Linked DNA regions of Canis lupus familiaris. The protein of the gene in region 1 interacts with the protein of each later gene in a biochemical or structural test. Links are inferred from orthologs where the notes say so. Each region holds a gene or a part of one and is shown in the gene's direction. Other genes may lie near its edges. The genes, in order: ACVR2A, BMP2, GDF2 and SYNJ2BP.

The links.
Region 2: the proteins of ACVR2A (region 1) and BMP2 form a complex in vitro, tested with the Homo sapiens proteins (3 studies listed by BioGRID and IntAct, with this or other methods). The link is inferred for Canis lupus familiaris from reciprocal best matches to the Homo sapiens genes ACVR2A and BMP2.
Region 3: the proteins of ACVR2A (region 1) and GDF2 form a complex in vitro, tested with the Homo sapiens proteins (2 studies listed by BioGRID). The link is inferred for Canis lupus familiaris from reciprocal best matches to the Homo sapiens genes ACVR2A and GDF2.
Region 4: the proteins of ACVR2A (region 1) and SYNJ2BP form a complex in vitro, tested with the Homo sapiens proteins (2 studies listed by BioGRID and IntAct, with this or other methods). The link is inferred for Canis lupus familiaris from reciprocal best matches to the Homo sapiens genes ACVR2A and SYNJ2BP.

The regions. Positions count from the first base shown.
Region 1 is NC_049240.1:51,289,506-51,295,627, forward strand, and holds the start of ACVR2A (activin receptor type-2A), read left to right. Parts: upstream 1-2,282; 5' UTR 2,283-2,793; coding exon 2,794-2,848; intron 2,849-6,122. UniProt on the Homo sapiens protein: On ligand binding, forms a receptor complex consisting of two type II and two type I transmembrane serine/threonine kinases.
Region 2 is NC_049245.1:15,657,473-15,663,418, reverse strand, and holds the start of BMP2 (bone morphogenetic protein 2), read left to right. Parts: upstream 1-2,268; 5' UTR 2,269-2,343; coding exon 2,344-2,444; intron 2,445-2,738; coding exon 2,739-3,088; intron 3,089-5,946. UniProt on the Homo sapiens protein: Growth factor of the TGF-beta superfamily that plays essential roles in many developmental processes, including cardiogenesis, neurogenesis, and osteogenesis. Induces cartilage and bone formation.
Region 3 is NC_049225.1:35,876,459-35,880,366, reverse strand, and holds the end of GDF2 (growth/differentiation factor 2), read left to right. Parts: intron 1-783; coding exon 784-1,727; 3' UTR 1,728-2,545; downstream 2,546-3,908. UniProt on the Homo sapiens protein: Potent circulating inhibitor of angiogenesis. Signals through the type I activin receptor ACVRL1 but not other Alks. Signaling through SMAD1 in endothelial cells requires TGF-beta coreceptor endoglin/ENG.
Region 4 is NC_049229.1:44,326,155-44,331,528, reverse strand, and holds part of SYNJ2BP (synaptojanin-2-binding protein), read left to right. Parts: intron 1-1,552; coding exon 1,553-1,689; intron 1,690-5,374. UniProt on the Homo sapiens protein: Regulates endocytosis of activin type 2 receptor kinases through the Ral/RALBP1-dependent pathway and may be involved in suppression of activin-induced signal transduction.

The DNA.
Region 1 (6,122 bases):
TAAGAAGAAGTGATTCTAGAAATAGGAAAAAGAGGGGCAGTAGGGTTAGCTGCAGCTACCTCTGTCTAGTTTTCAAGCTTTAGAATTCCAGTGGGAGTTAGTCACATACTCTCACGTCTTAAGTTAAATTATTTTTGAATTTTTAAAAATATACAGAAGATGGGGGATTTTAGGAACAAAATAGGTAACTACTGTTACTGGATATTAATAACTTCTGGGGGGGGGCTAAACTCTTTATAAGAATAGTTCAGCGAGGACTCTGACTTGTTGCTCCCCTTTTATGCGACAGAGAAAAAATAATTTCCTTCTTCTCTTAAAATTCTTCTACTGGCAAATTTAGGTGGTAAGATAAGGAATATAATTTTTTTGTGTGTGTGTGTTTTAGTCCTATTACTGGTTATTCCAGTTATTCCACTCTCTGTGGTTTCACAATCTGCGAAATATGGAAGTGATGCAGAGATAAGACAACAGGGAGGCCTGATCCAGGGTATAACCCACAGAAAAATTCCTGAATGCACTAAATACGCTCTTCCATTCCAGAAACATTAGTGGAAACAGTGCAAGTAGAGAATGGAAGAATGTTTATATTTATTCCTCTGAGCAGCTCATAAGGTCCAGAGAATTACATAATATGGGACCATTTAGACACCTTGAAGACCCACTGGGGACTTTTTCTTAACTGTTGCACAACATCAGTCCAATTCTGAGCACCAAAACAAACAAACAAACAAAAAAAAACAAAAACAAAACAAAACCAACAAACAAAACCAAAAAAAATCAACAAAACAAAACACACAAAAAAACCTCACAAAAAAAACAAATAAAAAAAAAAAACAAAAACAAATTCTGAGCACAAACAAACAGAAAACCAAATTCTGAGCACCACGACGTGAGGACTTGGAGATCTTGGAGGGAGTTTAAGAGTCACAGTCATTACTAATGACCCTGACAAGTCGTAGAAATGGGCAGATAATTACAGGATGAGCTTCATAGATAGCGATATTGAGTAATTTAGAGGAAGGGGAAAAAAAAAAACCACTGTGTACATACATGGGAGGAGGCTTGGCTTTGTGGGAAAAACGTGGGGATCGGTAAAGCACCAGTGAAACAGAGGAGTTAGCCACACGCAGTACGGTTTATGACTCTTTATCATTAAAAAAATAAAACGGTTTGCGGAGCTCACGCTAGAACGCCGCAGGCAGGGCCGGGCGGCCCCGGGTCGGGTCGGGTCGGGTCGGTCGGGTCGGGTCGGGTCGGGTCCCGGCGTCCGCGGGGCTCGAACCCGCCGCCGCCGCGGGCTCCGCGAGGGGGGACGCTGGTCCTGCGTTCGGAGTCGCGATCCGAGCCCGGCCCGGCCCCGTGCGAGCGATCCACCTGGCTTAGGGGGCGTGAAAATTTAAGGAAAAAAAAAGAGAAAGAAGAAAGAAAGAAAGAAAAAGATGCAAGGAAAGAAAGAGGCAGCCGCGACCCCGCCGGGTGCGGAGCGGACCCCGCGCGATCCCGGGCGGCGCTCGGCTGCCCCCCGCCCCGCGTGCACGCCCGGCCCGGTGGCTCGGCCGCGGCACTGAGCGCTCGGGCGCCGGGGGCTGGGGCTGGGGCCGGGCCGCGCCTGCAGCCCGCGCGCACCGGGTCGGCCGGGCGGCTCCGCGGACGCGGCGTCCCCTGGGGCAGCGCGGGGCAGGGCAGGGCAGGGCAGGGCACGGCAGGGGCTCCGCGGCTCCCCGCGCCCCGCGTCCCGCCCGCCCGGGCCCCGCAGCCCCCGCAGCCCCGCAGGCCGCGCAGGCCGGACGCACAGGCCTCGCGGGAACGCGCCTCCGTCCGCCCCGCCCCGCCCCCGCCCTCCGGCCCGCCCCGCCCTCGCGCGCGCCCCTCCCCGCGCCCGCCTCGCCTCGCCTCCCCGACCATCTCCTCGCGCTCCCGGCCCGGCACGCGCGCTGCGCCCGCCGCCCCGCCGTCCCCGTCCCCGTCCCCGTCCCCGTCCCCGTCCCCGCCGCCGCCGCCGCCGCCGCCGCGGCCGAGCGTTCCTCCGCCGCGCCTGGCTTCCAGCTTCGGGCCGGAACCGGAAGTGTGGGGGGCGGGGCCGGCGGAGGCCAGGGGACCGAAAACGCGGCCGAGCCCGGAGCCCGGAGCCGGAGCCAGAGCCTGGACCAGAACTTGGCCGCCGCTTGCGCCGCCGCCTGCGCCGCCGTCCCCGCCGCCGTCCCCGCCGCCGCCGCGCCGTCCCCGCCGCCCGGGCCGCCACGGCCGCCAGCCCGGCCGCCAGCGGTCCGCGGACTTTGGGTGTCCGGGTTGAAGGTCGGTCCGGACGTCGGACCCGGCTCGGCTCCCGGACTGTCCGGGCGGCTCGGGCTCCCCGCCGCCCCGCCGCCGCCTCGGCGCCTCCGCCTGGCGTTTTGTTCCGAGAGCCCCGACAGGCGAGCGGCGCTGACAGCGATTTTGACAGTGATTTAAACCCGCTTTTGTTGTTGTTGCCTTTTCGTTGTTTGGTTTTGTGTGTCGTGCGTGTGTGTGGCGGTTTTTCTCCCCCCACCCCTTCCCCGTGGTGCATTTTTCCTTTTTTTTTTTTTTTTAATATATAGCATTATTGTGCTCTTTTATTTTTTCCTTTTTTTTTTTTTCTTAACCCCGTGAACCTTTTTCGTTTTTTATTTTTTTTTATTTTTCTTTTTGGTCGGGGGCTTCCGAATATGTTTTATGACGGTTGATTTCACACCAGGAGGTTTGTCTCCGAGGAAGACCAGGGAACGGGCTCTCTAGCGAGAACTTGCTGCGGATCCCCCGGCGCCTCGGAAAATGGGAGCTGCTGCGAAGTTGGCGTTCGCCGTGTTTCTTATCTCCTGCTCTTCAGGTAGGTGCGTGGAGCGAGCGCGGCGGGGCTGCGGCGGCGGCGGCCTGGGGAGCTCCACACACACACACACACACACACACACACACGCGCGCGCACGGACACACGCGCGCACACACGCGCGCACACCCGCCCCCCGGCGCCCTGGGCCGCGACCCCGCGCGACCCCCCACCTCAGCCCCGACCGTGCCCCGGAAATCTCTGTCAGCGTCTCCCGCTCGGAGCCGGGCCGGCGGGCTGAGGAGACGGACGGCTCGGCCGTGCGACTGGGAAAGTCACGCTCCGTGGCCCTCGCCCCGGGTGACAGCGCTGCCTGGGGCGGGGGGGGGGAGGGGGGCGGTTAAGCCACAAGCGGCGCGAGTGACAGCCGGGGCCGCGGGTTCGAGCCCCGAAAGGCGCCCCCCGGAGCGGCGTGTCGCGTGGCCTGCCTCCCCCCCACCCCGGAGCGGCGCGTTTTGTTCTGGGTTTGATTGTCTCGTAACCAGCGCTTCCGCGGTGGCCGTCACGACGGGCGTCCAGCCGGCCGTCGCCCGCCCGCCCGTTCGCCCGTTCGCCCGCCCGTTCGCCCGTTCGCCCGCTCGCTCCGGACGGCGAGAAACAATGCGGCGCGGCGGCGGTGTCATCGGGGTCCCCCCCACCCCCCTCGCCCGCCCGCCCGCCCGCCTCACGGTCTCCTCAACTTCGGCGTCCAGCCGCGTTAAAAATAGTTGTAGCTGCTGTGGCCCGGGTGTTCACAATACCGCGGCGCGGAGCGGAGCGCGGCCGGGCGCTGGCGGAGCGCTGGCCCTCACCACCATGTCTGCGTGCTCTCGGCTGGCACAGATTCCGCTCACCTACGGGGGACTTCTCTTAACGCGCGGTGTATCGAGGCATTGTTTTCGGTCTATAGAGCAGCCATTCGAGATGGTTCGCGCTCGTCAGAGACGTTGCGGTCCTGGCGTGGGTTGTGGCCCGAGGTTTGGAGGGGGCGACCTGGTCCCTCCTGCATCCGACGTTGTGATTTTTGCTTGGACGTTGTACGCCTTTGCAACCAGTGGTTGGGAAACTAGTCTTTTGTGTTTGGGGTTCGGTAAACGAACGCAGCCCAGCTCCAAGGTGTGCACACGTACGTCGCAGGAGAGTTTAGTTTGATGGATGGAACACTTTTGAAGTCGCAGTGGATCTGGTGATCATAAAATTCAATATTCGGGTACCAGGTTGTGGGAGAGAATTATTGGAGGCGGGGGGGGAGGGGGGGACGAATTGACAGGTTTCACGGCCACGTCTTTATCTCGTTTGCTGCAGGGAAATTAGAGGGTGTTAGTCTTTTCTTTGTGTACCTCTGTGCTGTGTGTGTGTGTGTGTGTGTGTGTGTGTCCGTCCGTCCTCCCAGCCCCCTCTTCTAATAGAATCCTTTGTAACGTATAGAATTTTGCTGAATGGTACATTTCCTTGTGGTTAATAAATGGATAAAGTCTAGTCTTATGTCTGTAGTGGTATTGATCAGTTCCGGGTGGGCTAAATGTGTTGTGAAATGGCGATCATTGCCAGAGATTAACCAAAGAATCATGTCTGTTTAAATGGAAGAAGGAACATGCTTAAGGCAGGCTGACAGTTCTTTTTGTGCAGGGCTTGGGGAGGAAGATAAACAATGGTGTCTCCGAAATGAATGAATACCTTGATAACATTAAACCTCTCGCTTTTGTGACATGACTTAACTATGCAGTTTTTATTTTCCCCGTAGTACTCTCTCTCTCTCCTGGTTCCTGTATGTTCTGGTTGGTGAACTCCTCATGTTCAAATCCCTTTCTCTGATCTCCTGCCCTTGAGGAGGAGGGGCATCATGGCCACTGACCAAGGAATTGTGGACATTATTCCCTCCCAAACCCACCTGAGTCACAATAATTGGTGAAGGGGGTTATTCTTAAGCAGTCTCAAGGTATTACTTCTGGAAAAGCAGGCTGTCGCTTACAGATCTTACAGCCTCCTCTGCTTGGTTTAGAAGCAAAAAGAATTGAGCGTTAGTTTCTTGTAGGATTATTTTCAGTGGGCCAGGAGGTTAATAGCTAAAATTCTGAAATACAGTAATTTTCTTGCTTACAGAGCATATAGATATGTATAGCACATAGAATTACATAAAACCGGTGCTGAATATTGTTGCATAGTTTTTTTTCCCCAAATAATTCCTAGTTGAACTAAAATATAATTCTGTTGAAGATAATTGAAATCATCTTAAAGACTTTAATCCATATTTATGTATAAAGATATTTAGTACTTAAAATATCTGATTTTTTAAAAGGCTTTTGTTATGAATCAAATGCACTCTAAAAGATTATTGTGTTTCCTTTCCTAATTGATTTTCCTAGGTAATATGTAATCTGGCATGCTGGAAGCATGAGGATGGCTATTTTTATGAGAATTAAAAAATTTCTCAAGTTGTCATTTTTTTTTTGTTTCTGGATATTTAATTTTTTTAAGCAAATGAAAAATAGTAATAAAGAGCTGTTTATCAGATTTTTAGGGTGGATGCTTCTTTCTTTTTTTTTTTTTTTTTTTTTTTTTTTTTTTTAGTATTTTGCAGACTTTGATTTTTCAGTTTCCATCCCATGGCATAGTATATAGGAGACTGATTTTGCAGACTATTCCTGTAGGATATGGCCAAGTATGTAATTTCTTAATGTAATTCCAGGGGAAACATTTTTGAGTTTTGTTCTATTCCTCAGATGCCTTCAGATTCCTTTTGTATTTGCATTTTTTCCATTCTTTTTATCCTTCCTCAGATTCTGTTTCAAAACACAAATCGATTTATTGGATTTGTTTGTTTGTTTTTAAAGCAGTGTGGCTAATTTGTGTCTTTCTTCACCATTTGTTAAACTATGAGTTTAATACTTGCTCTAGCACTTAGGTCTCTCCTACCTAGAATGATGCAGCTATTGTGGTGTTTGAGTTGCACTGACTAAGTTGAGGAATTTGGGTTTCTGTGGGAACTGGAGCAGCCTGGTCCATATATTTGATGAAATAAGAAATGGAAATAAAGTAATTATGTGCATTTCTTTGACCTCAGATAGGTAGGCAGTGCCGGGTGTGTGCACGCCCGTGCCCGTGTGTGTTTCTGTGAGTGAGTCTATGTGCCTTTGGAGGGGGAATTGGCAGCACTGTGGATCTTCTGGGACTCAGCTGAACTTTGGCTAACAAGTGATGGATGTGACACGCTTTGTTTCCTACAGTCAGAATCTCTTAAGTGTAGTCTGTGATCAGATTCAGATACCATCTACTGGAACATCAAAACCAGAAGAGG
Region 2 (5,946 bases), on another chromosome or scaffold:
GCGCTCTCCCCCCGGAGCGCAGGGGCTGGATGCGCGAGCGCCCCCCTCGGCGGCCCCGCGGCCCCGCCCTCGGCCCCACCCCGCCGCGGCTGCCCCGGCGCGCCGTCCACACCCCTGCGCGCCGCTCCCGCTCCCGCTCCCGCTCCCGCTCCGGCTCCCGCCCGCTCGGGGATCCCCGGCGAGCCGCGCCGCCGAGGGGGAGGTGTCCGGCCTCCGCGGAGACGGAGGCTGCAGGCAGGCTGCGTCCCCTTTAAAAGCCGCGAGCGCCGCGCCACGGCGCCGCCGCCGGAGTCCTCGCCCCGCCGCCTGCGCCCGGCTCGCGCTGCGCCCGCCGCTCCGCTTCCCACACCCCGCCGGGGACTGGCAGCCGCCGCCGGACGCCCGCCGCCGCAGGCTGCGCCGCGACCCGCCGACCTCGCGGCCAGCGCGTCGCGGACTACGGGGGCTGCTCCGCCGCCGCCGCCGCCGCCGCCGCCGCCGCCGCCGCCGCGCGCCGCTCACCCCGCGCGGGCTGGAGCGCCCGGCCGAGCGCGCCCCTGCGCCGTGGCCTCGGCCGCCCGGGCCGCGCCGGAGCCGGGGAGCCGCGCGCACGGCGCCGCGCAGCCGCGAGCCCAGCCCGAGCGCCGCGATGCCGAGCCCGCGCCGCCCGAGCGTGGGGGCCCGCGACGCGCCGGCCGACGCGTGAGCGGACCCCGGGCCGGCCCCGGAGCGCAGCGCAGTCTGGCCCGGGGGCTGCCGCGAGGGGAGAGCGCGGCCGCGCGCCTCGGCCGCCCGGGACCCGCCTCGCCGCCTCGCCTCGCCTCGCCTCGCCTCGCCTCGCCGGAGAATGCGCCCGAGGACGCCGGGGCGCCGGAGCCGCGGGGCGATCGGCCGGCGGGCGCCGGCGGGGCTGCGCTGGAGCGAGGCCGAGTGATGCGGGGGCGCCCCCCGCCCGGCCCCGAGACCGCCGCTGCGCCCTTCCCCGCACCCGGCGTCGCCCAGGATGGCCGCCCCGAGCCACGGGCCGCGGCGGCGCTAGCGCGGAGGGAGCGCCCGACCCTCGGCCCCCGCGCCGGGCCCCGCGTCCCGCGGGCGCCGGTGCCTGAGGACGACGACGCACCGGCTTCTGCCCTGTCCCTTCCCTCGCCTGCCCCGTCCTCCTCCCCCTGCTCGCTGTTGTTGTGTGTCAGCACTTGGCTGGAGACTTGTTGAACTTGCAGGGAGAATAGCTTGCGCTCCCGCTTCGCGCCGGTGCCTTGGCCCCTGCGGAGCCGGCCTCGCCGCCCGGACCCCGCGCCCGGACCCCGCGCCCGGACCCCGCGCCCGCGCCGCCCCACTGCTCCGCGGGGCCAGACCCGGGGCCGCGGTGCCCGGCGGCGGGAGGAGGCGGCGGCGGCGGCGGCGGCGGCGGCCCGAGGGAACCGGGTCCCTGCGCCAGGTCCTTGGACCAGAGCTTTTTCCATGTGGAGGCTCTTTCAATGGACGTGCCCCCGCGTGCTTCTTAGACGGTCGGCGGTCTCCTAAAGGTAGGGGACGAGGGCCCCGGGCTGGGGTGGGGGTACGGGGTAGGGGGTAGGGGCGGGGCGCGGGGCGCGGGCGGCCGCCGAGGGCGAGCGGCTCCTGGGGCCGGGCCGGGCCGGGCGGACGTAAACAGACCCCCTCCGGGTCCACGTGCTGCCGAGCCCCTGCGGCGATGCCCCCACCAGACCGCCCCGGCGAGCCTGGCCCTCCCGGCTCGCGCTCTTCCGCCCCTCCTCCCTTCTCTCTTCTCAGTATTTTATTAGGGCTGTTAACACTTAGATGATTAAAAAAAAAAAAAAAAAAAACCTCGAAGAAGCCCAATCTAGAGGGTGGCCTCTGGATTTCACCCGTTAGTCGCCAACCTTTGCGCCCTGCCATGGCCATCTTCTCTCCCTTCTTCAAGTTTCTCAGGGAGACCTGCTCTCTACTCAGAGCCAAGTCCCATTTAGGAAAATACTAGAAGTTGGGGTTCTCCCTGTTTGTTGCCAGGAATGCGAGGGGGGCAGTACTTAAATGCCACCTTCTGGTGACACGTGACCGAATAGGTATTATTTATGTAACTGGAGGAATATGTATGTGTGTCTGGACTGCATGGGGCGGGGGTTCGGGGCTGGGGTGGCCCTGTCCTGACACCTCTGAGGTTAAAGGCGTGGGCCACAAGTTGCAAGTGGCTTCGGAAGTTGTGGCCCTGAGTTTACTGGGTCTGGAAGTCAGAGGGAGGGCGGGAGGGCGGGAGCGAGAGAGAGTGTGAGTGTATGTGTGTATCAGGAAGTTCTATACGGTGCCTGTAAGGAAGTCACATGCACCATCCGTGCGTGTTTATATGCAAGCCAGCGCTGGGCAATGTGTTTGGGTTTGTTTAGCGATCCGGGAGGTGTCAGACCAAGCGGTGGTTTCCCCAGGTTCCCTGCACGGGCTGTCAGCGCGAGTGTCACAGAAGAAAGGTGACAGTCTTGACGCTGGTGGGGTGTGTGTGTGTGTGTGCGCGCGCGCGCGCAAATCGTGCCGGATGGATGAGAGTGAGTTGGAAGGGGGGGGAGCCTTCAGGCTCAGGAACTAGGGGCTTTCCATTCTCCCAAACGTTCGAGCTTAAGACCTTTGAAGTATCCCCGCGAGTATTGCACACCAGGTGGGCACCCTGGAGGGGGAGGCAGCGGCCGGAGCGGGAGCCCCGGGACGCGAGGGCGGGGAGAGGATTGGGCGGGGAACTCGGTGACTCACGTCGGCCCTGTCCGCAGGTCGACCATGGTGGCCGGGACCCGCTGTCTTCTAGCGTTGCTGCTTCCCCAGGTCCTCCTGGGCGGCGCGGCCGGTCTCATTACGGAGCTGGGCCGGAGGAAGTTCGCGGCATCTCCTGGCCGCTCCCCGTCCCAGCCCTCGGACGAAGTCCTGAGCGAGTTCGAGTTGCGGCTGCTCAGCATGTTCGGCCTGAAGCGGAGACCCACCCCCAGCAGGGACGCCGTGGTGCCCCCCTACATGCTGGACCTGTACCGCCGGCACTCGGGCCAGCCGGGCGCACCGGCCCCGGACCACCGGCTGGAGAGGGCAGCCAGCCTGGCCAACACCGTGCGCAGCTTCCACCACGAAGGTGAGGCGTGGAGCAGAGCGTGGGGGCCGAGATGCGCGCGGAGAGTCCCCTCCAGAAGCTCCCCACTGTGGGCCGACTGTTGGCATCCCTGGGAAGGCAGTTCTTGCCTTTGTAAGAACCTTTCCGAACCGAACCTGGCTTTACCGCGCTGCCTGTGTGGCGAGGGAGCCAGGGATTCCCCTTTGGTCAATCTGCACCCTTTTCCTGGCCTGCAGCCAGGAGAGCGACTCCTCCTCCAGGAACTGGAGAGAAATCAAGTGATGGGGAAGATGAGGGCAAAAGGCATGCCCCTAGTCAGCTAAATGTGCAAGAATTTCATAGGGGAAGAATGAAAAGGAGGGGGGCAGATTGGGATCTCTTTATGTCTGTTTGGAAGCCCTTTTGCCCTGTAAATCTGTTTCTCCTGCTTCAGCTGGGGTTTCAGGCTAGACACAGCCAAGGACAGACTTTTCAGAGATACTATTGAAGAATCAAAGCCAGGGGCCCCAAAGTCTTTCTAATTTACAGTTGATCTGGGCCTGGTTTGGAAGATTTCGAATCCCTATCTAATCCCCGTGAGAGATCAATCCCACAATCAATCTTATTGTTTCCACAATGACTTTCTTGTTTTGTGCTTAAATCTGAGATGAACTCCCTCTTAGAGACAAGGCAAGCCTTCAGATAAAAGCTTTTGCAGCAGCTGCCTGATGGTTCTTTTTTTTTTTTTCTCCATGTGCATTGAAATGTGGATTTTTTTTTTTTCTTTTATGATACTGGATGTGGTTTTCCTAAGGTACGCTATTTCTGCTTGTTTCATTAGAACAGCATTTAGTGGATTTGAAATGTCCAAGAGAAGCTATTGACATCTGTTGTACCCAAGTTCTTGGATCAATTAGTCAAAAATTTTATGTTCCACTTTAGTTCTTTTTCTACACTTTTAAATACCCTTTTGGCTTAATGCATTCCAAATAGAGCACGGGTTTCATCAAGTTCTAGAGAAATCTCCAAAGCTGTGTATCACAGAGCAGTCACTTGTAGATTATTGGGGAATCGGGAGTGAAGTTCCCATTTTCTTGCCTTGCTTCGAGGTGGTAAATTTCAGGCAGAAATCTATTCTCTAACATAAACAAATAAGAACTGTTACAGCTACCTATTTTCTCTCAGTGTGAAGGGTGACTACACTTGTGAGAACAGCACTTAGTGTTGGGAAGAAGTCCTAAAGGCAGGTGGCGTAACCAAAGGTACTTCTTCATCAAAGCAGTTGTACACTGTGAAGGGACACGGGATTGATAACCCATTGATCGTAATCCATCATTTTCCAGCACATTTCCAAGTGAGGTGCTTTTTTGCAGTAGAGCTCCCATGAGAAAGCACAGAAGGCATCCTTCTACTCCTTCAGGATTCGTTCGCTGAGAAGCAGAAGTTGTCTGTTGTCATATGTAGAAATGTTTTCACTCCTATATGCTCTGTCAACATAATCTTGGAATGATTGTAGTAGATGCAGCTCATCATTCCCAGCTGATGCTGATAAGAATTATTTTTCTGGATAGAAAAGTAGCAAGAGCAGCTATTTCAGCCACCTCTCCTGGAAATTTAGCCTGGAACCACTCTTAATTATTTTAAAGGCTAGGAAGGTACTGTGTGTCTCTCATAACTTAAAGGAGGAACACTTAAGTCGTCTGACACCTAAAACATTCAGCTGCATGAGGATCCCGTCAGTGGAGTCTGTGTATTTCTCTTTCCTCTAGGAGTGGCTTGATCAAAACTAAACAGGCTACAAATTATTTGAGTGTGTTATTTTAACCTAAATAGCGTGCTTGAGTTTATAAGTCAGAATTTATAACTTTAAAAGTATGAAAGTTATGTGCAGAGCAGTAGAGAAATTATCAACCTGCTTAAAGTCAACTTACAGTAACGTCAGATCTCAGTGCAGTTAGATGATAGAAAAAGCCATGTAATTTTTGCCTCAAATTTCATCACATCCATTTCTGTTCTTGTTATGACTAGCATATCATTCTTAGGCCACATCATGCATATTTTGAAGACCGTTTCATTTTTGTGTAACCCAGGATTTGCTTTTTATAAAGATCCTTGTGCCATGCATGGCACTAAAAATCTTTTAATAAATCATGTGATTAAGGCAGCTAGCTTAAGACCAGAACTTGGCTCCTGCAGCCTTAATGGGCATGTGTTTGGTAGAGAACTAAGGGCCTGATTCCAAGAATTACCTGTTGTTGGTTTCATTTGTGGGTGGAATCTGGGTGATTTGGTGAAATTACAAGACCAGAGATACCATGGTTATCAGATAATCAACCACTGTGTGAAGATAATGGGACCGCATGGTAGGTGATCTGAAACAGAATGATCGGTTGTCATTTCTCCTATTAAACTTTGTCTAGTCTTCTGGACAGTACTTGTCCCTTAGGAGAACCCAAGTACTCCAACAGTTTTCTTCCTCCAGTCATTAAAAAGTTCTTTGGCCGCACATAGACCTTTCGCAGCTGCCACTGAGGAAAGAAAAATCACTCCTCCTCCTGGAAGGAGTGTTCTGTGCTTTGCTGTACTGAAAAACACCTTGAAATTGGTTGACTTCACCGGCCCTGCAAAAAGCCTTTATGTTCTCCTGTCAGAGTAGAATATAGAAGGACCATCTGTTTGCTCTCCAGACTCTGAAGGACACAGTCTTCGTTTTAATGAACAATGGAATTATTTGCCTCCCTGACTAAAGCCTTTGAATAGAAAATAACCCTTTTCCCACAAATGTAATTACCACGAAAATATCCGTATAATGGGAGAGTTCAAGAAGCAACTGATGCCCTGGGAGAGAGAACTTGTATCACAAATGCCCAGTGTAAGCAAAGGATTTGGACACAGGCACC
Region 3 (3,908 bases), on another chromosome or scaffold:
ACGCAGGCTCCCCTCACGCTGTGACCGAGCCGTGGCATCACAGAGATGTGCTGGTGGCTGCGTGCCAGCTAGGAGAAGTTGGAAACTGAGACACTTGGGTAGCTACAGGGTACGCCCCATTGATGACTAACGTGACAAAGCAGGTGAGGCGAATCTCTTTCATTTTTTTCCCCCAATTAAAAAAAAAATTCAGTTTCACTTTGCTTGGAAATTAGAGTTCTGAATAATTTCTTTGCTGTTTAAATTGCTGAGATTTTTAACATTGTGTTAATGCTGGAAATTTGCCATCCCCGCCCAGGGCGGCTCCTCCCACGTCACACGCTTGCGATTCCCACTCTGAGGCTGACGGTATGCTTTGCTGCGCTGCTTATTTGGTACTTTCTTTTAATGTGAGGAGCTTAACAGGATGTGCGCGCTTGGCAGTTAAACAGCCCAAATGCCAGTCTCCACATCTGTAAAAATGGGAAATAATTAGACCGTCCCAGGGCCCGTGCGGAGAGCAAAGTGACACAGAGAATGCAGAGCTCCTAGTGCGATGCTGGGCACCTAGTAGGTGCTCCCTGAAGGGCGGACCTGTCAACTCCAATGCAAGGCACCTCCTGCCTCTGGTTTTCTGGAAGATCCTAAATGTCTTTTAAATCCTTCTACACGAAGGGCCTAAGTGAAACCAAATAAAGATTTGATAGAGTTGGTCAGTGGCATCCTGGATGCCCTTTGACCCAAGTCACAAGTCTCAGCTTTGGTGTCATGAAAGGTGACCTTGACTGTGCCCTTGCATTTCAGATGCTGTCTCCATCATGGCCACAGAGGACTTCCCCTTCCAGAAGCACATCTTGCTCTTCAACGTCTCCATTCCTAGGCATGAGCAGATCACCAGGGCCGAGCTCCGACTCTACGTCTCCTGCCAAGGTCACGGAGCCGCTTCTCGTGAACTGAGAGGCAACATGGCTATTTATGACGTTCTGGATGGAGCAGATGCCTGGGATGCTTCCGCAGGCACCAAGACGTTCCTCGTGTCCCAGGACATCTCGGATGAGGGCTGGGAGACCTTCGAGGTGTCCAGCGCTGTGAAGCGGTGGGTCAGAGCAGACTCCACCAAGAGCAAAAACAAACTGGAAGTGACTGTGGAGAGTCACAGGAAGGGCTGCGACAAGCTGGATATCAGTGTCCCCCCGGGCTCCAAAAACCTGCCCTTCTTTGTTGTCTTCTCCAACGACCGCAGCAATGGGACCAAGGAGACCAGGCTGGAGCTCAGGGAGATGATCAGCCACGAACAGGACAGCGTGCTCACGAAGTGGTCCAAGAACAGTCCAGCAGGGGCGGGTGACCGCAAGGCCGAGGGGGGCGGGGAAGGTCACATGGCCACAGGGTCCTCGTTAGCCAGACGAAAGAGGAGTGCCGGAGCCAACAACCACTGTCAGAAGACCTCCCTGCGGGTGAACTTCGAGGACATCGGCTGGGATAGCTGGATCATTGCACCCAAGGAGTACGACGCTTACGAATGTAAAGGCGGCTGCTTCTTCCCCTTGGCTGACGACATGACCCCAACAAAACACGCCATCGTGCAGACTCTGGTGCATCTCAAATTCCCCATGAAGGTGGGCAAGGCCTGCTGCGTGCCCACCAAACTGAGCCCCATCTCCATCCTCTACAAGGATGACATGGGGGTCCCCACTCTCAAGTACCACTACGAAGGGATGAGTGTGGCAGAGTGTGGGTGCAGGTAGTGCCGGCCTCGGGCGGGGGGACAGGGTGGACGGGCCCCGTTTCCCTCTGGGCATGCCAGCCTGAAGGAGGGAAGGGGGCGGCCACGTCCAGGAGGTGATGGCCTGCCCACCCCAGGCGTCCACCACTGGGTCCATTCGCATGGGACAGCAGTGGCCGGGGCCAGGGCAGCGGCGGGGGAGAGGAGGAGAGCCCGGAAGGATCATTGGGGTGCAAGGGGGGAGAAGAAAAAAGAGGCCGAGAGGAAAGCAATCCAGGGTTAGCAGAAAATAGCAGAAACGAGGCAGGGGGCTGGACAGATGAGGTGCAGAGATTGGTGGGGCTTAAAGGAGGCGGGAAGGACGGGGCACATTCCCACAACTCAGGGGGTGCGGGCCCGGAGAGCCACGTGCTCTACACCCCTCGTTTCGAGCCTCCCTGCAACCCGGCGAGGTGGGGCTCACGAGCAACCAAAACACAGGCATTTCAAGCCACACCGGCCATGGAGATGGGGTCCAACCCTCGGTCTGCACAGATCCGTCATTCCCCGGGGCCCAGGACCCTCTCAGGTACCCCATCAAAGGGTATCAGGTCACCTCACAGCTAAAGAAAATTAGACGCTGGAGGCGGGCAGCGGGGCCGAGCTGCACTGAGCCCCAGCCAGTGCCCACCAGGCTGGCCGGGCCGCTGGAGCGTCCAGCACGTTCTGACGGGCGCCGGGCTGCACCGGGGGCCCGGGGCTTTCTCAGATGCGCCTCGAGTCCCTGGGCAACCATCCCCCAGAGCAGCTGCAGGAGGGATGGAGTGCACGACAGGCGCCCGAGGCTGCGTACACACGGCGGCCGGGGGGCCGGGGGCGGGGAGGGGGGACGGGGGACGGGGCGGGACCGGGGCCGTGGGACAGCGCATTCAGCTGGCAGTGCGGGCCACTGCCCAGCACGGGGTCCCCGGGTGTGCGCGGCCCAAGCAGCTCACCAGCACGACGCCCCGGGGCCTGGATTGGAGTTGGTCGGAATAAATGTGCTCTTGCCTTGGTGGCTGCGATGTCCCTTTTAGTCCTCTCGCCCAGCCGGGCCTTCCCGGCCCCCGCCGCCCCCGCCGGCTTCCCTGAGCTGCACGGCCCCGGCCCCGGCCCCGGCCCCGGCCCCAGGACCCGACTCGGCCCGCTGACCTCGGGGAGGACGGGGTTTCCTGGGAGCCCTGAGGGCCGCGGCCGGAGCAGAGCCCGTCGCAGGCCCCGCCACCTGGCCTTCCCCGCGGGTGGAAGCTCCTAGCATATTAAAAAAAAAAAAAAAAAAAAAAAACAGATTTATGTTAGTTTACATGGAACCAACGGAGAGCTTTAACAGAATTCAAATTCATTAATTTAAATACAATTAACTACCGAATTGTAGAAAATACTAACTCCTGGTGAGACCGGATGAGGAATTAGTCCCGGCGGCACAATCCTGCGACTGCATCAAAGCTTCACTCGGAAATAAAGTCGAGTGTGTCCGCGGTGGACTCCCCTGATCAGAGGCCTCATGGCCCCCGGACACCGCGCCCAGGCCACCCCTGCCCCTGGGCCCTCCCCTCCCTGAGGACAGAGCCTCAGGTGGATGCAGAGGGCAGCGTCTCCGTTGCGGGGGGCCCGGGAGATGTCCATGGAAGGGCCTGCGTGGTGCCCGCGGGCCCAGAGGTTGGAGCCAGAGCCGCCCCCGCTCCAGCCCCAGCCCGGCTCCCTCGGTCCTCGGCCTGCCCTCAGGCCCCGCTCCACCGCAGCCCAGTCACCTTCCCTGAAGGCCCGGCTCCGGTGGCACCCCTCAGCCTCCCCCCGCCCCGCCGCAGCCTGGCCCCGACCTCCCCACCCTGAGGAGCACGACCGTGCTTCTGTCCTGTGGCTGTTGTGGGCTTGGCGTGGGGACCTGCCAGCCTCTGCTCGTGAGCCGCCCACGCCACCAGGTCCTCCGGGGACGAGGCCTGCGAGCCTGCAGCCTGGTCACACTCGGGGCCCAGGTTCAGGGCAACGGGGCCCGGACCACGTGCTGGGAAAAGAATCTGCGGGAGCGCCCCCCAGGTGCTGCTTGGCGTCCATGTCCCCACGGATGTTTCTGGGGGATCACCCCAGCAGAGCTCATCCCCCGATGCGGTACTGAGCCCTCCGCTTCTACTACCGCGCTTGCGGGTGGGGGGTTGTCAGCATCACACGTAGGGAGGCACTGTCC
Region 4 (5,374 bases), on another chromosome or scaffold:
TCCAGGGTCTCCAGGATCACACCCCAGGCTGCAGGCGGTGCTAAACCGCTGCGCCACCAGGGCTGCCCGCCATCTTGTATCTTAAACCACTTTAGTTCTCTGGCTTAGATAGTCTTTATGCAAGGTATGCTACCTAAATGAGTTGTTTCCTACTGCTTCTCTCCCTTTGGCCATGTGCTTCCTTACATTGCAGATTGATTTACTAGTACTTATGTTAATACTGTGAGCTTCACACACAAGCTTTCATCCCATCAATGGGGAGAATTTTTTAGAAAGCCCACAAATGTCTCCTTAAGTATCTGTTTTCTATTGAAATCAATAAATAAGCTAGTGATTATGGCTGTTCCTTCTAATTGTGCCCCCAGATTTTTGTTTTTTATTTTCAAACTGTTTCTTTTCTCTTGGCATTATGGCTATGAATTCTACAGTGTCTGACAGAAAACCCTAGGGAGGTTCCTTTTTTTTTCCTTTTCTTTTTAATGCATAGATAAATTCTGTTTATAACAATGATTTTTGAATAGTGAAATTCCACAACTTGGTTGGTTGGTCCATAGAAATGACACTTTACAAGTCATCTTTTTTTTTTTTTAATTTGTTGTTATGGTAAGAACACTTAAATGAGATCTACTCTCTTAATAGATTTTTAAGTGTACAATAACACTGTTGTTATCTATAGGCACCATGTTGTACACCAGATCTCCAGAACTTATTCATTGTGTATAACTGAAATTTTATACCCACTTAAATTAGTCACTTAGAGAAGCAAAGAATAGAAGGGTGGTTGCCAGGGGTTTAGGCGTGGGGGTGGAATGGAGAGTTGCTAATCAGTGGGTAGCTGGTTTCCTACAGTGAATAAAACTTGACAGACTACCCAAATGCATGGTTGTTTTCACTGGTCATAGAAAAGGAAAAAGTAAATTTGGTGGTTTAGTCCTATCATGAAGCCTCAGTTGCCTTTCTAGTTCCCAGGATTCCTGCCAACACCTACACTCAAAATAGAAAAATAAATTAAACTCCTAAGACCATTTTTTTCCAAAACACCTCCATATGCAAACTGTCCTGAATGTTGGGAGAAGGGAACTATGAAGGGGAAACTTTGATTAGGAAACTCTCTTCCACTAAATTAAAGATAGTTCATTTGCTTCTTATGAACTCACCCTGTTACATTAATAGCAGGAAAGTCAAGAATTGGGTCCTTTAAATGCCACCAGCAGAATCAGAATTGAATATGAACAGAAGTACATCTTACAAGAATCACTGTTATTCTTTTACTGAGTTTAGAATATAGATCTTTCTTTTTATACTAAACAGACTATGTTGATCTCTGTGTTTGTATTTTTAATCTTGCCTGGCCTAAGTGGGCAACTCTGGGTACTCTTGACCTCTGTTGATGATCCTCTTCACTAACCTTGCCTGTGTCTATTGACCAGTTACATCACAGTTTGACTCACCAGCCTCCCCTCCTCACTAGGCCTCTCCTCTTTCTCTTTCTTCTCTAATCCCTTTCTACTTCATCACTATCTCCTTCACAACTCCTCCATGATTTTCTCAGGGCTGGGCTTCAACATCGTCGGTGGGACAGATCAGCAGTATGTCTCCAACGACAGTGGCATCTACGTCAGCCGCATCAAAGAGAATGGGGCTGCGGCCCTGGATGGGCGGCTCCAGGAGGGTGATAAGATCCTCTCGGTGAGAACTGGCTTCGGCCTCCTTCACTGTTTCTTGCTCCCTAGACCCCAGTTCTTACCCTTAGCCCTTTCCTTGGGAAGATTTCTGCCTGCCTTTTTGGATCTGGAAATATCTGGATTGTAGAATATGGTGGGAGGGACCTTGATCAGTCACCTTTTCCTGCCCAAACATAGAGCAAAGAGGATAATTCCTTACTTGATAGACAAGGCATCTTCAGTCCAGAATGTGAAGCTACTTTAACCAAGTTCAAAAAACAGGGAATAGGAAAGGTTGAGGGGCTGATGTAGGGGAAAGAGACTTAAAACCCACAATTGTCCTTTTTCAGTTATACTTTATCACCTCCCTTTCATTGAAAGATTAATGTGTGTCTTCCTTTACTCCAAAGAAACAAAAAAGGAAGGTAGAAATTAAGCTTCCTTTTTAGACTCAAATCCCTTCTCACCCGTCATGAAGATGAAAAATTTGAATGCATTCTCATTTGGGTATCTGTCCATTGTGCTCCCATTTCATTCAGCTAATGTTTGTAATAAGACACTTACTATATGGTGAGCTTTGATTTGATTCTTTTCTAAAAGTTTCTCAAGGGCAGGGACTAGATCTTTTTTTTAACCTTTTACATCCTTGCAATGCTCAATATATATTTAACAAATGAACAAGTTAAGAAATTCAGGCAAGCCCAGAAAGATTGGCTGATCCAGAATATAAATATAGTATTTTGGATAGTAATAGCCTATTTTTGTCCTTCTCACCAGCTATTTTGCCTCTTTTCAGACCATTAACCTTCTCCTAGATCCTGTTTATTAATTTGAAAGATACAAACAGTGATAAATACCTTTTATCTCAAAATGATACTGTGAGGTTTACAAGTAGATTATTTCATATTAGCTCCCTGGAGAAAGACCTCCTAAAAACATGAAATCAACTTGAGTGGAACATTAAGGAAAATTTAAGAGTGGGTTGTTAATGGTATAGCATGTAGGCAGAAATTATGCAGTTCATAGTGACATATAACACATTCTCTCCAGAATACTGGGGCCTGGGTTACATTTGAAAAGTATAGGGGTTCAGAGGACAGCCATATTATTCAAAAAGGTTTGGTAAAGGGTAGATTATATGAGAATGGTTAGAAGTTTTTGAGCACCATATGCTAAGCAATATGCTGAGAACTTTACGTTTGTTTAATATTGTGGTAACCCTATGAGGTGAGTACAATTATTATAACTACTTTGCTGCTAAGGAAGCTGAGTCTTGGTGAGGTCAAACAGCTTGCCCAAGGTCACACAACTGGTAGGTGGCAGAGGACTAAAACTGATCTGTCTGAATTTGGAGCCCCTACTCTTAATCAGTATGCTGTACTGCCTCCTAAGAAGTAAATGAGGAGCTAGGACTAGGTATCTAAACAGAAGGTTGTATGGTTAATTAATAGATATTTTGTATGGTTTTATATAAAAACAAATCAGTCTTTAAGGGTATAATTGGAGGGAAAAGGTCATTTAGCTCAGTATGAGAGAATTTATTAAACATAAGCTAAGATGAGCAGCCTTTCTTATGTGGACCATTGCCTCATAGAGAAAAGAAATTATTGGAAGGCACTCAAGTTTTTTTTTTTTTTTTTTAGAGAGTATGGTAGGAGATGGATGTCCATGGAGCAAAAAGTAAATGTCAAAAAAACTGCTCTCTTCACCTTGAAATTTACACCAAACAGGATTTTACTTTATTAAAGTAAAACAAATATGAGAAATATTACAAAGACCTATACAATATATTAAATATTACAAATATATATAGGACATATAACAAGGAATGATTCAAGTTTATGTTTTGGACAATTAAGATATGGGAAAGAAGAGAGGGAGGAAATGCCTGACAAAAGTTGTAAAACAGATAGGAAGAGAAAGAAAGAAGACTGAAGAGAAAAAGATGGAGCATATACAAGAGGAGAAGGCCAGCATATTCTCTTCTTTCTTTCTTTCTAGGGCTATCTTATTTATGACTCCAGTCTCCCTATCAAGAGTTTGCTCCAACATAATTCTTTCTAGATCCTTTTCCTAAGAAATACTGCCTCTCTCACCTTCTCACTGTCTTTTCCACTCTCTCCTTAAGTGAACTCATTGGGCATTAACCATTAAATGGTTATGTCTCCTTTGTAACTCACTCTCCCTCTGATTTAACTAAGTGCTCTAATACTGGCTGTGGAGTCTCTGTAAAATGATGGTGCTGAACTGTTTATTAGCTTATATTCTCCTTGATTCTTTATGGGTTTTTCTGTTCTCTTCACATAGGCTATTTTTCCATGTTGTAAAATATGCCCCAGCTCTTTCTTTTAACTTTTGCTAGATAATCAAACTAAGAATATGTTACTTCCTTGGCACATCCATTTTGGATAACTAATACAAATCTTATTTAGTGATCTAGATTTCCTAGAGTTAGTATTGACTAATAAATTAATCTTTCCATTTCTCTTGAAATAATGCCCGTGTTTTGTCTTAATTTCAAGTAAAACTAAATAATTGCATGACTTATGCAATTCCCTCTTGCTCATTAAAAGTTAAATTACATTTTTTTGTGACCTCTGTGGAATGTTTAAACTTAAAAAAATGGGAGGGGGAGGAAGAAAAGAAATTCCTTTAACATAAATTATTTTTAAGGCCCTATTGCATCTGACAACCATAAAACAAAAACAGGTATTACTAATAGAAGGACCTGAAGTTGAGATGAGGGCTGGAGATGGAGATTCCTCACCCAGAGTTTATTTTGTATGTGATGGTTAGGGCAATTTAATATTTGTATAGGTTACAAGGGAAAGATTTTATTTTTGAGGGGAAAAAAATGTAAACTGCTTAGGTTTGTCATTTCCGTTGTGTGCCTGCCTAAATGATGGGAGGTGGATAGTTAAGAACAGTCCATGCTCAGTGAATGCTGCATTTTTATGAAGTTCAGGGTGATATGAGCTAATTATTACACTGAATAGATGAATATTCCCTTTTGACCAAACCCTTTATATAACAAAATGGCACAGATCAGGCCACTAGTCAGCCACATTTCATGTTTTCATCAAGTGTAATTCTTAACTTGGTGAATGAAAGAGCTGAGTAGTCCTCAGCATTTATAGCTGTTATACTTGACAGCCTGCAGAGCACCATGCCAGGTGCTCTGGAATGATTTGAAAAATGAAACACTCACCTTCACACATAGCTTAGAAATCAGTGGGAAAGACCCACCAGAACCCCTCATCTGCTTGGCTGCAAAGACATTGGAATATGCGGAATCCTTTAGACAAAGGATGCCTAGAGGCACTTTGTCCTCCTAGCTCAGTATCCCCAGCTTAGGATCCCCCCTGCCTATATGTTTGTAGCTGGCACAGAGTATGTATGCAGTAGGTTAGTTGCTCTGTGAATGCATCATAGCATAACGGACTTTTTTGGTTTGGTCTGATTAATTAGAACTAGATAATCTATTTTTTTCCCTCTTCAACTCTGATGAAAAAAGAGCCCCCCCCTTCCCTCATTGTGATTCATTTCAGGATCTTGGCAAAAAATTAAAATATCCAGAGTGGTCAATGCTTATTAAATTAAGTCCATTCCTTTTCTACATCTTATGCATTTATATCGATATCGATGTTATTCTATAGTTAGAGCTCTTGAGGCAATTCAAAATTATTAATCGTCAAAGAAAATGAGTTTGG